Linked DNA regions of Coturnix japonica. The protein of the gene in region 1 interacts with the protein of each later gene in a pairwise test. Links are inferred from orthologs where the notes say so. Each region holds a gene or a part of one and is shown in the gene's direction. Other genes may lie near its edges.

The links.
Region 2: the proteins of FEZ1 (region 1) and PDCD7 interact in a two-hybrid assay, tested with the Homo sapiens proteins (2 studies listed by BioGRID and IntAct). The link is inferred for Coturnix japonica from reciprocal best matches to the Homo sapiens genes FEZ1 and PDCD7.
Region 3: the proteins of FEZ1 (region 1) and PAM16 interact in a two-hybrid assay, tested with the Homo sapiens proteins (2 studies listed by BioGRID and IntAct). The link is inferred for Coturnix japonica from reciprocal best matches to the Homo sapiens genes FEZ1 and PAM16.

Annotation. Positions count from the first base shown.
Region 1 is NC_029539.1:76,992-81,303, forward strand, and holds the start of FEZ1 (fasciculation and elongation protein zeta-1), read left to right. Parts: upstream 1-1,459; 5' UTR 1,460-1,474; coding exon 1,475-1,580; intron 1,581-1,597; exon of another isoform or gene 1,598-1,619; coding exon of another isoform or gene 1,620-1,692; intron 1,693-2,916; coding exon 2,917-3,217; intron 3,218-4,312. UniProt on the Homo sapiens protein: May be involved in axonal outgrowth as component of the network of molecules that regulate cellular morphology and axon guidance machinery.
Region 2 is NC_029525.1:16,083,909-16,088,245, forward strand, and holds the start of PDCD7 (programmed cell death protein 7), read left to right. Parts: upstream 1-1,530; 5' UTR 1,531-1,566; coding exon 1,567-2,283; intron 2,284-2,974; coding exon 2,975-3,113; intron 3,114-3,416; coding exon 3,417-3,653; intron 3,654-4,085; coding exon 4,086-4,173; intron 4,174-4,337. UniProt on the Homo sapiens protein: Promotes apoptosis when overexpressed.
Region 3 is NC_029529.1:11,175,997-11,179,118, reverse strand, and holds PAM16 (mitochondrial import inner membrane translocase subunit TIM16), read left to right. Parts: upstream 1-1,254; 5' UTR 1,255-1,347; coding exon 1,348-1,350; exon of another isoform or gene 1,351-1,375; intron 1,376-1,569; coding exon 1,570-1,654; intron 1,655-1,857; coding exon 1,858-1,997; intron 1,998-2,172; coding exon 2,173-2,238; intron 2,239-2,420; coding exon 2,421-2,507; 3' UTR 2,508-2,580; downstream 2,581-3,122. Other genes in the region: coronin-7, read left to right, coding at 79-168, 240-356, 424-559, 627-718, 795-881, 961-966. UniProt on the Homo sapiens protein: Regulates ATP-dependent protein translocation into the mitochondrial matrix. Inhibits DNAJC19 stimulation of HSPA9/Mortalin ATPase activity.

The DNA of each region.
Region 1 (4,312 bases):
AGATACTGCTGGGAAGAAGCATTGCTGGAGATACAGAGAATCTAAATGCTCAAAAGAAGGCTTTGTGAGCTGGCAACGGCACAGAGCAGGGGATGCGTCCTCAGCAGTAAATGACTTATTTCACAAAAACAGTTTTACAGAAAAACTGTGTCACTGTCGGCAGCAGTGAATGGAATTAAAAAGGACATGAGTTATGGGGACACATGAGAAATTCATTCCCAACACTGCCCTGGGCAAAGGTGCTGGAGCTGGAAGTGTCTGAGCACTGCAGGGTGGCATGGGTGGAGTTAATTCTGTAAAAATAGAATGGCATGGAACATGGAATGGAATGGAATGAAATAAGGAGTGGAATGTGGAATGGAATAGAATGGATGGGATGGAGTGGAGTGGAATGGAGTGGATAGGATGGAATGGAATGGAATGGAATGGAATAGAATAGAATAGAATAGAATAGAATAGAATAGAATAGAATAGAATAGAATAGAATAGAATAGACCTTCATGATGCTGTAACCATGAGATGGGGTGGGATCATGGGAACCCTTTTTTCTCAAAGCAGAAAGCTTTTCCAGAGCTGTTGTACTGCAAAATGCTGCTTTCCTTCCCCCAGATACAGTGTGCTGTGTCGCCAGGCAGCTGTGACACTGCGATGTGTTATCTCACGTATGCAGCCTCAAAGCCTTGCCAACTGAATTCTCTACCCTGAAATCCTTCAGTTTCAGGGTGTTTTGAGACCATTTGCTAAAAGCACAACAATGCAACAAGAGCTCTGTGCTGGTTTGCAAGAACAAAAGGATGACATTAGGGAAGCTGGAAATTTCCAGCAAATCCTGCAGCATCGCTGGGTCTGGGAGGTGTGTGTGGATACAGGAGCAGCGCTGCCCTGTGCATCCCTGCAGTGCATCGCACTCACAGCCGTGGCAAAGCACAGCCTCCAGGTGGGGGTGCAGGGTCTGCTGCTCACTCAGGGTTACAGAGAATAGAGATGGATGTACGGACCCTTAAAAAAAAAAGCATTGAGGCAAGAGGGAAAAGGGACTTTTGCATAGTTAATAGCTTTTTAAGAGATCTTGTTTCAGCTTCATCTCATTTGTATATATATTCATATAGTCTGATTTTTGTAATGGATGCAATATATTTGTACGCTTGCAGAAGTGCATGAATAAATAAATACATATATATTAAAGGGAGGGGAGAATGGTGTATCGGGGGGTGCATGACCCAAAGAAAGGCTGTGAGGAGGATGAGGATGAGGAGGAGGAGTAGGAAGGTGAAAAATAGGACGATGTGGAGGACAAGGAGGAGGAGGATGAGGAGGATGAGGATGAAGGTGATACTGATGATGATGTTGAGCAGGGTGAGCACGTAGAAGGCAAGATGTGAATGATGGTGAGAGCCCCGCGCCCCCCTTCCTTTGCCCTTCCCCGGGGATAAGGGGGTGATGGGGGGGGGCTGGGGGGGCGTGAGCTCCTCAGATGACGTCACCCTCCCCCCCCAGCCCGTTCCGCGCGTGCGCAACGCCCCCCCCCCGCCCTCCCCCCGTCAACCTTCTCCCGGAGAGCGGAGGATGCGGGGCCGCAGGTGGGTGCGGGGCTGGGGGGAGCACAGGGGGGGGAGGACATGGGGAGGGACCCCCGTGGGGGTGTGGGAGTGCGAGAAACTGGGGCTGCAGCCGGAGGGGAGTGGGTGCACGGTGCGTGGATGTGTGCGTGAGTTGATGGGGGTTGCACAGGGCGTTGCATGTGTGCGGGGTGGGGGCTGGAGAAAGGTTTTGGAGATGCAGCGCGATGGATTGCGGGGCTCTGTGGGGGGGGGCATCACTGCGCAGTGTGCGGATATCGCGTGAGGGCGCCCCTGGGCGGGGGGCGCGCTGGGTGCTGCGCACGGGTCGTAGCGATGGGATTTGGGGGTGCTCGGTTGTGGGGGGGCAACAAGGAGCTGCCCGCCCCTCCGGTGCCCGATGCGCTTCAGCAGCCGTGCGGGGGCAGCGCTGCGGGGCGCGCAGGCGCTGTGAGACGGGGCGGGGGAGGGGGATGTGGGGCTGGGGGCGTTTGGGGCGCATCGGGGGGGCCGTGCAATGAGCTGCACGGATGAGGGATGCTGGCAGGGGCATGCGCAGTGCACGCATGCGGTGTGTGTAGTGGAGAGCTTGGGGTGCACAAAGCAGGATACGTGTGAATGGTGCAGGTGTGCACAAAGCTGGTGCACAATGATGCGTGCACAGTGCACATCTATGAAGTGCATGTGTATGCAGCCACCCCGGGTGTGCATACAGAATGCCTGTGCACTGTACACACGTGCACCCTTCCATCTATGTGCCTCTGTGCAGGCATGCACTCCCTCCATGTGCAGGACTACACACCTGCACAGGACTGCAGGCCTGGAGGACAATTCTGGGATGCTGCTGAGGTGTTAGCAGGGATTTACCAAAATGCCATCAGATAGAATGCCAGTAGTGGTGGGTTTCTACTGAGATACAGGAGCACACTCTATTACTAAGATACTGCACAGCCATTCCTAGGACACTGCTCAGATGGCATCAGGGTACCACTGTGATACTGTTGAGATACTGTCACAACACTGATAAGGTGCTACTGGAACAGTATTCAGTTTTTAGTAGGATGTTACTGTGATGCCAATGGAATACTTCTGAGCTACTGCTAGAGAATGAGGACAGGTAGTGGTAAGATGCTTCTGGGGTACTATTAAGTGCTATTTGAGCACTCAAGGAAGCTTTTGGGATACCCCCAAAAAAAGAGAAGAAGCTCTAGGGATACTATTGAGCAGCTACCAAGACAGGACTAAAGTACTACTGGGATATTACTGACACTGGGCTTACAGCCAGCACAGGGACTGGGGAGCCCTGCTGACACAGCCTGTGAGCAGCAGGTGCCTCGTGGGCACCTTGTTCCCACAGCTAAGACGGCAGCGGTGGCAAGGAGGATGGAAGCACCCCTGGTAAGCCTGGAGGAGGAATTCGAGGAGGGGCTTGGGGACAATGGGGGGACCCCCCGGCGCACCATGGACCCAGCACTGGCTGAGCTGGAGAGCTTCTCGACTGAGATGATGAGCTTCAAGTCGATGGAGGATCTGGTGCAGGAGTTTGATGAGAAGCTCACCGTCTGCTTCCGCAACTACGATGCCACCACTGAGGGCCTGGCCCCTGTGAGAGGCCGGCTGCAGGCACAGGAGGAGGAGGAGCACCTCCAGGATGAGGAGTGAGTAAGGCTGTTCCTGCTGGGAACGTGGGTCTCCTTGCACTTCCATCCCCATGTTGTAGCATGATCATGCAGTGCACCACAGTTTTGGTGCAGTAACTCCCTTAGGGCCTTTGTGCCTCCTTATACCCCTGAGACTTCCCCCATGTGCTGCTCAGAATCCTGCATCATGCTGTAATTGTGCATATGCATGGAGTTCCTGTGTGCTGTCTTACAAATAGGACACATAGGACACTTGGGCCTGCATGTCTCCTTGCATCACTGTGAGATACACCCCACCCCCAGCATGGAAACCTGCTTGCCCCATTGCAGCATGACTGTGTGGAGTGTTGTGTTGTGTCCTATGAGCAGGGCACATCTGGGGCCTGTGCACCCCCTTGAGTGCTTGCAGGGCACCCTCCGTGTGCAAATCAGGTCCTTCCTTGCAGCATGGGAATGCAATACCATGCAGTATGTGTAGTATCCTACAAGTGAGCACATCAGGTGCCCCACATGACACTGCAGAGGGTCCAGGCTTTGTGAGGAGAGCTGGGGGTAAGTGTGAGCAGAGAGTAAGGTGTGAGTAAGGTGAGGGCTCATCCTCCTCCTTGCAATGTAAAACTGTGCACCAGAGTGGGGCTGTTAGGGGCAAAATCTGCCCAGTGCTGCCTTTCCAGCCAGAAGCATCATAGTGGCATTTGCTCTGAAATCTAACTTTCCTATGAAACCTTTTTTTTTTTTGTTGCAAAATGCCATTTAGGGGCAGAATTTGCCAGCAGTGTTGACATACAAACAACTTCCTAATGGATTTCTTTTTGCCTGTTTAGTTGAGATTATTCCCCAGGCTGCACTTCCTAATACTGATTTTTCACCATGCAAAGTGGTTGTTTTTAAACCAAAAGCTCTCAATTTTTTTTTTTCTTTTTCTTTTTTTTCAGCTGTTTTTGTATTTTCCAGTGAAAAATCAGTGATTTTGCAGAGAACAAAATGAATTCTGGCAGAACGCCCAGAAAGCTGCGCTGCCACCAGCAGCCCATGGTGCCACTTAGTGCTGTGGATTGTGTCACTTTGGGTCAGTTTGGGCAAAACAGGCTTTTTCTTTTTTTCCCCAGTCTT
Region 2 (4,337 bases), on another chromosome or scaffold:
TCATACAACTCACATGGGGGAACGCTCGGGTCAGTGTTTGCTTTTCTGCTGGTGTTGGGAGCCAGCAGTGCTGGAGCGATTTGTTACATGGGCTGGGAGGGGAAGCCCTTGCACCAGGACTCTGAAAAGCTTGGGGACAACCCTGCAGACAGCGCTGGGAGATCATGCTAACAATGTACCGCTGGGCTGTTAGTTAAATTGGATACTGAATAATACATCCTGCTGGTCACCTCCCCATTGGGAGAAAGTTACGGTCACCTTAAGTGCTGAGGATGAAGGTGAAGACAATAACGAGCTCACTTTGCCAGAAGGGTAAATGAAATAAGGAGGGGGTGGTCAGAGTTTGGATGCCAAGTTGGCTTAAATTTTTTAAATATTAATGTTCTAATATAGTACGTTTTGTTTAACATATTGGAACGATCATGCATCAATTTTTTGGTGCCAGCTATTTGCCCAACCTATCTTATAATGTTAAGAGACGAAAAGTAAGTGTATCATATTTTTGATGTAATGGGTAGCGAGTGTTCACACGGCACTGCTTAAGTTATATGCTTGAATGCTGTAGTATTGCATCTTGTGCTTTTGTCTTTGGTTTGTAGGCTCACAGCAAAGCAAGGCCTTCTGTCCCACACCCAAATGAATTCAGTCCCTTAGGAAAGTGTTTGTAAAAGCCCCAAATGGACCTGTTACGTTTGCAGTTTGTTTCAGGAATTAAAGTTGTCGCTTACAACTCGGTTTCGTCCTTCAGATGGATTTAGGTTTTACTCAGCCCTTCTCCTAAACAATTTAACTCGTCTGGTTCTTTTCTATCCATCCTGTAGGTGTTTTAGGTAGGGGAGGGTTCTGCGGATGCTCGGCCCTTGTTTTCTGTTCGTTTTCGTCATGTAAATTTGAAGTGATAGTGGTGTAATCCTTGCCTTCTTCCATAGGACCCTGTTAGCCAGATGCATCAGGTACCGCCTTAGGATTCCACCTTCTGTTCACTCACCATCCACGGCTCGAAAGAAGCTGCTTTTAGAGCTGAGGGTGTTTCCAGGAGAAGCTCCATCGCCTCTTAGATGGGAACCTGTGGTGAGCTGTAACCTGTCCTCATTTTCCTCTTTGTAGAGTGAGAAATAGAATCGCTTTTAATTCAAGATTTCTTTAATCCAGATTGGTTTCGTTTTTTTTTTAATGGATTGCAAAAAAGAACCATTTTAGGCAGAACTGTTAACAAACAACAACTTTTAGTTTTGGAAGTTGTTTTGGGATTGTTTGCAATTATTAAGAATCAAGAACTGTTTTTAAGGAAACAAATGCTGTGTAACCTCAGTTTGTACCTTATTGCTGAATAAAACCAATGAGTCCCGGGAGATGGAGCTGTGTCATCCCTGCTGCTCCTGTTCGGCTGGGGATGGGCAGGAAAGAAGGGGGATGGCCTCCAGTTGTGTTAGGGGGGGGTCGGGTCGGATAGTGGGAGGGTCGGGTCGGATAGTGGGAGGGTTAAGGTCGGACAGTGCTGTTCTCCGCCCCCAGCCCCGTTTCCTCCCGGCCGCCAGGTGTCGCTGCTGCAGCCGCTCCTCCAAGATGGCGCAGCCCCCTCCTCCGTTCACCTCCCGCTTTACTCCGCCGCCGTTCCGCTCCTTCCCCCCTCATTCCCCCGCTCCGTTCCCTCCGCCCCCCTCTCCCTTCCCGGTCCCCGCATCCCGCCCTGCTCTCCCTCCTTTCCTCCTCCCTCCTCCATCCGAACCCGGCTCGTTTTTCCGCGGTCCCTCCGTCCCTCCGCTCTTCCCCCCGTGGCCTTCACCCGACCGTCCTCCTCCCCCGCTGCCCCCCGATGGCGATGCGGATCGGCAGCGCGATGAGCGCTGGTTGGCGCAGTTCCTCTCCCGGCGGGTCCCCCCGGTTGTGTCCCCGTTCCCTCCCTGCGGTGCCAGCCCCGAGCTCGGCCGGCAGCTGGCGGTGCGGGCGCTGCGGGCCGTGAGCCGCCTCACCGCGCTGTGCCGGGCACTGAGGAACCGTGAGGCCGAGGGTTGTGAGGAGGGATGGGAACGGGAGCGGGAGGAGGCCGAGGAGCTGCTGGAGGGACTGAGGGACACGGTGAGACCTCTGAGAGAGCCCGGCTACCTGCGGGAAATGGGCAGGAAGGCCGAGAAGGCGAGAAAGAGGAGGGAGAGGATGCAGAGGAGGAAGATGGAGGCCCGCAAAGCCAAGGAGGAGGAGGCGGCCCGAGCTGCGGAGAGGGAGGCCGAGATCGACCGATGGAGGGCAAAGTGTATCCAGGAGGTGGAGGAGAAGAACCGGGTATGGAAGAGCGGCCTCAGCCCTGTGCCTACAGCCGGGGCTCCAATTGGAGCTGTGTCATCGGCAGAGGATGGATTCCCCAGCCGTGTGCTGCATTAGGGCCCTCAATAAGAAGGATATAGGGGCAGGTGTGGAACGCTGTCCCATGAGCAGCAGCTGACTGGTGTGGGTCCATCAAAGAGCTCAGGGGACACCTCCTTGCTCTATGTAACTCATGAGAGGAGGTTGTGCAGAGGTGGGCTCAGCCTCTGCTCCCATTAACAGCGATATAATGAGAGGTGATGGCCTCCAGTTGGGTCAGGGAGGGTCTGGTTGAATATTAGGAGACATTTCTATTCAGAAAGAGCAGTGCAAACTGCTCACCTGGTGGGGATACTGTCCCTGAAGGCCCAGAGGGATACAGGCAGTGGGCAAGGTTCCAAAGCAATAAAATAACAATAAAAACCCACCCAAATTAAGCTCAATGGGAAGTGGTGTTGGCACTGCATTGGTTGCTGGGCCTATTGCTGGGGTGGCAGAGAGCAGCTGATATGCAAAGTGTTGTATCCAGACTGGCACGTTAATGGTCTGGAACTGCACAGCTGTGAAGTCAGAACAGTTTATGTTGGTAGGGGGACTCTGTTTTTGATAGTAGCTTCTCATTCTGGTCTGTGTGGGATAATTCATCCTTTTGCTTCTCTTTCCTTTGCAGGAGCGGGAGCTTAAGGCTGCTGCAGACAGCGTCTTATCTGAAGTAAGGAAGAAGCAGGCAGACACCAAGAGGATGGTGGACATCCTGGGCTCCTTGGAAAAGCTTCGGAAACTGAGGAAAGAAGCTGCTGCCAAGAAAGGTTAATTAGGGGAATTCTTCTAATGGTGCGCACGGGAAATAACGGGATGTGGAAGGTGCATTTTGAAGAAGCTGTTTCTTTATTATTGTCATTATGTTGTTCTGTAAGGATAGCTATGGGATGCAGGACAGCAGATTGGATGCAGCGACTGTTCCTATGCTTCCAAACTCTTTCTTACCAGAAGAAAACTCCTGTTGAGATATTTGTTAGCTTGTGCCTGTCTGAGATTTTGCCAGCTCTGCTTTTAAGTCTCATAACAGCTCCTTGTGAATGTTTTGTGATGTTAATTCTCCTTCTCTTTAGGCGTTTGTCCACCTCCCTCGGCAGATGAAGCCTTTGAAAATCAGGTGGAAAGTCTCAGAGCGTTGCTCCAAAATCGCACAGAGCTGTATGAGGCTGAGGAGAGAGCGCTGAGAGTGATGCTGGAAGGAGAACAGGAGGAAGAAAGGAAGAGAGAAATGGAAAAGAAAGAGAAGAAGGAAAGGGAAAAGCTTCTACAGCAGAAGCGTGACATTGATTCCAAGCTGTTTGGGGATCCAGGTAAATCCTGCCTGCCAGACTTCACCGTGTTTATTGCTTTCAACTCTTAGGCGTTGGGTTTAAAATACAGGCACAAAAGAGGCTGTAGGTTACACTGAGGTGGGAATAAACAGAATAGATTGAAGACTTCCAGCGTGCAGCAGGTGCTTCGTTCTGACAATTTGGTTAGTGCAGTCTGTGTGATATAAAACAATTCAGTGTCCATATGTTCCCATGGTGCAGAGGACAGAGACAGGGAAAAGTTTTGCTGGTCTGAGCTTTGCTCTGACAGCTTTGGGAAGGGCGAGATGTGCATAACATGAAAATAAAAGGTGAGGGTTTCAAGTTAAGCTGGGGATCAGCAAACTAGTCAGCAAATGTGGAACTTCTCAGACAGTGGGATCAAAGGACTCTCTGGTGTATTAAACAATTTCTATGTCTGTGTTTTAACAGATGAATTTCCTCTGGCCCATCTGCTGCAACCTTTCAGGGAATACTACTTACAAGCCGAGCTTTCTGTAGCAGCTCTAATCCAGATCAGGTAAAAGCAAACACAGTCTTTGTTTTGGTGTCTAAGGTGACAAGTATTGTTTGTTGAGTCGCAGTATTATAGTTCATTAACTTCCACGTATGGCGTGTGATGAACTCTTCCAGTTCCTTCTTAAATACAGAGCACGGTTTATAGTCTTGTGTCTTGGTTGGTAT
Region 3 (3,122 bases), on another chromosome or scaffold:
TTCTAAGGGGCTCCCCACACAGGGCACCGTGGTAGAGGGTCCTCGTGCCCTCACACCAGCTCCATCCCACTGTCCCAGGGTGACACCAGAGTCTTCCTCTATGAGGTGACCCCCGAGCCGCCCTATTTCCTTGAGTGCAACAGCTTCACCTCCAGCGACCCCCACAAGGTGAGGGGGTGTCCATTGGGGCTGTGCTGCCCACCATGCTCCCAGCTCTGCTCATGTATTTGCTCCTCCAGGGCTTCGTCTTCCTGCGCAAGACAGTGTGTGACGTGCGGGACGTGGAGTTTGCGCGTGCGCTGCGGCTGGGGCAGAGCAGCCTGGAGCCGGTGTCGTTCCGTGTGCCTCGTGTCAAGGTATTCACCGGGCTGGGCTGTGTGGGTACAGCTCATCGTGCTGTGCTCACCATCACACGTCCTGCAGAAGGAGTATTTCCAAGAGGACATCTTCCCTCCCACCCGCGTGTGGTGGGAGCCGGCCCTGAGCGCCAGCAGCTGGTTACAAGGAGCAGACGGGCAGCAGAGCCGCGTGGAGCTGCGTCCCACAGACATGGTGCCAGGTGGGTGTATGGGGCAGCGCGGGGCCTCCAAGCTGTGGGGCCGCCCCACATCACGCTGCCCCCGCAGTGAGCCAGGCCCCAAAGGAGGCACCTGCACGGAAATTCGTCCCTGCGGCCGTTTATCTGGGGGAGAAAACAGACGAGCAGAAGAAGGAGGAGGTGAGTGTGGGGATGGCGGGGACACAGCACTGCGATGCCCCGACCCACCCCAATACACGGCCCTGTCTGTCCGCAGCTGCTCAGCGCCATGGTGGCACGGCTGGGGAACCGGCACGACCCGCTGCCACAGGATTCGTTCGAAGGGGTGGATGAGGATGAGTGGGTGAGTTGGGGGGGAAGCGGGACGGGAGGGCTGGACACCAAGGACCGGCCATGGGCTGCACCGACACCGGCATCCATAGGACTAGGCCGCAGGAGGAGCACAGGGCACTGCACGGAGCACAGGCCGCACTGGATGGGACTCATCTTAAACTGGACCAGCACTGGGGGACGGCACCGCCATTAAAACCACTGCAGCTCCACCATTAAACCACGGCATCCCGCCATTAAAGCCGCTCATCCCCGCCCGGCTCCTGTTCCTTGTGAGGGATCCTCATCATGAGGGGCGGGGGGAAAATGGCGGCCGCTCTCCCGCCTCCTTAGTGCGCACGCGCGGCGCCCTTGGCCCGGACCTCCCGCTCGGTGCTGCCGCCAGGGGGCGCTGTTGTCCGGCTGGAGGCGGCGCTCCGCCCCGCGCCCTCCGCTCTCTGACCCCGCGCCCTTGTGGGAGCGGAAGCGGCGGACGGAACATGGTGAGCGGGGCGGGATGAGCGCGGGGTGCGGAACCGGAGGGACACGGAGCTGGGGGGGGAGCACGGGGCGGGACGGGACGGGACGGATCGGGGAGCTGCGGGCAGCGGACGTGGGACGGGGCCGGGAAGGTGGGGGCGGTTCTGGGCCGTGCCCGGTGGGAGCGAGGCCTGTCCGGACACACGGTGCCGGTTGGGCCGTGACCGGGGCTGTGCCCGCAGGCCAAGTACCTGGCGCAGATCATCCTGGTGGGGGCCCAGGTGGTCGGACGGGCCTTTATGAGAGCGCTGCGCCAGGAGTTCGCAGGTACGACATGAACCGACACCGGCTCCACAGCACACGGGGGGGGGCTCCGTGCACACACGGGATGGTGCCACCCCCAGCACCGGGCGGGGAGTGGAGCCGGGTGACACTGCGGGGGGTGGGTGGTTGCAATGGGGGGTTGTGGCTCGGAGCTGCCGGGAATCCCGGGGCTGTGGGGGCTCAGGACTGACCGTGTCCTTGGGCAGCGAGCCGAGCTGCAGCAGATGCACGGGGCCGCTCTGAGAGGCCTCAGTCTGCAGCCGCCTCCAGGATCATCGGCATCAGCCTCCAGGAAGCTCAGCAGATCCTCAACGTCTCCAACCTCAACCCAGAGGAGATCCAGAAGGTAAAGGCTCCTTCAGAGCAACGCGGCTGGGGAGAGCTGGCACAGGGTGGTGGGGGCTCCTGGAGGTCTGTAGGTGCTGCCCTTGAAGCAGCCTCGGCTCCAGGAGCCACAGCCCGCTGTGTTTTGGGGAGGGAGGTGCAGGGAGCAGCTCCTGATGGGGGTTTTCCTTTGGCAGAACTACGACCATTTATTCAAGGTGAACGACAAGTCGGTGGGAGGTTCCTTCTACCTGCAGTCCAAGGTGAGCAAAGGGAGGAGAGCTGTGGAGTCCCCCAGCTCTGCCCTCAGCCCATCCAGCTGCCGTTGGTTGGGCAGGAAGCTTCCAGAAACAGGTGTTTTGGGGCAAAACTGCTTCCTACGTGGCTGAACCCATCAGTGCCACAAAGGGAGAGCTCTGCATCAACCCATCGCCTCGTCCTGCAGGTGGTGAGAGCCAAAGAGCGGCTGGACGAGGAGCTGCGCATCCAGGCCAAGGATGAGAAGGAGAAAGGCTGGAAAGCCGAGACGTGACCGCTGTCACTCACACCCCCATTTCCCTCTCCCTTAAGTTATAGGTGGCCAATAAATGCCGTGTCCTCCACCACCTGGCCTGGCTGCTCTGCGCCCTGGGAGGGACCGAGGATGGCCCCAGCCCCGCTGCTGCCCCATGGCTGTGGGTGTGCAGCACAGAAACCTGACCCAGCTATAGGGGCCGGCACGGGCTGAGTGCTGCCCTGCAGATGATGGAGGTGGCACTGGGAAGGAAGGGTGTCCCCAGCTTGGCCTCAGGGCAGCCAGGGCTCCAGTCACACCCAGGAGGGGCTGCAGGAGCTGTTTTAATGGGGGTTGGATGCTCGCAGCCTGACTGCACACATACCTCTGGCTCTGGAGCTGCATGCAGATGGGCAGCAGGGACGGGCACTGGGTCGGGCACAGCAGTGAGGAGCCCTATGAGGACACAGCAGGGCTGTCCCCAGCTGCATTCCCTACATGGGGCCGGGCAGGGCCGGCTGTGCCCTCAGCTCTGTCCCTTGGCAGGAGCTCAGTGCTTTGTCCCCAACCTCTGGCTCCTTGCTGCCCTCGGGCCCTGGGCACAGGCAGGCAGCAGTTACAGACCGAAACAGGAACTTACTTCAACTTCACTTT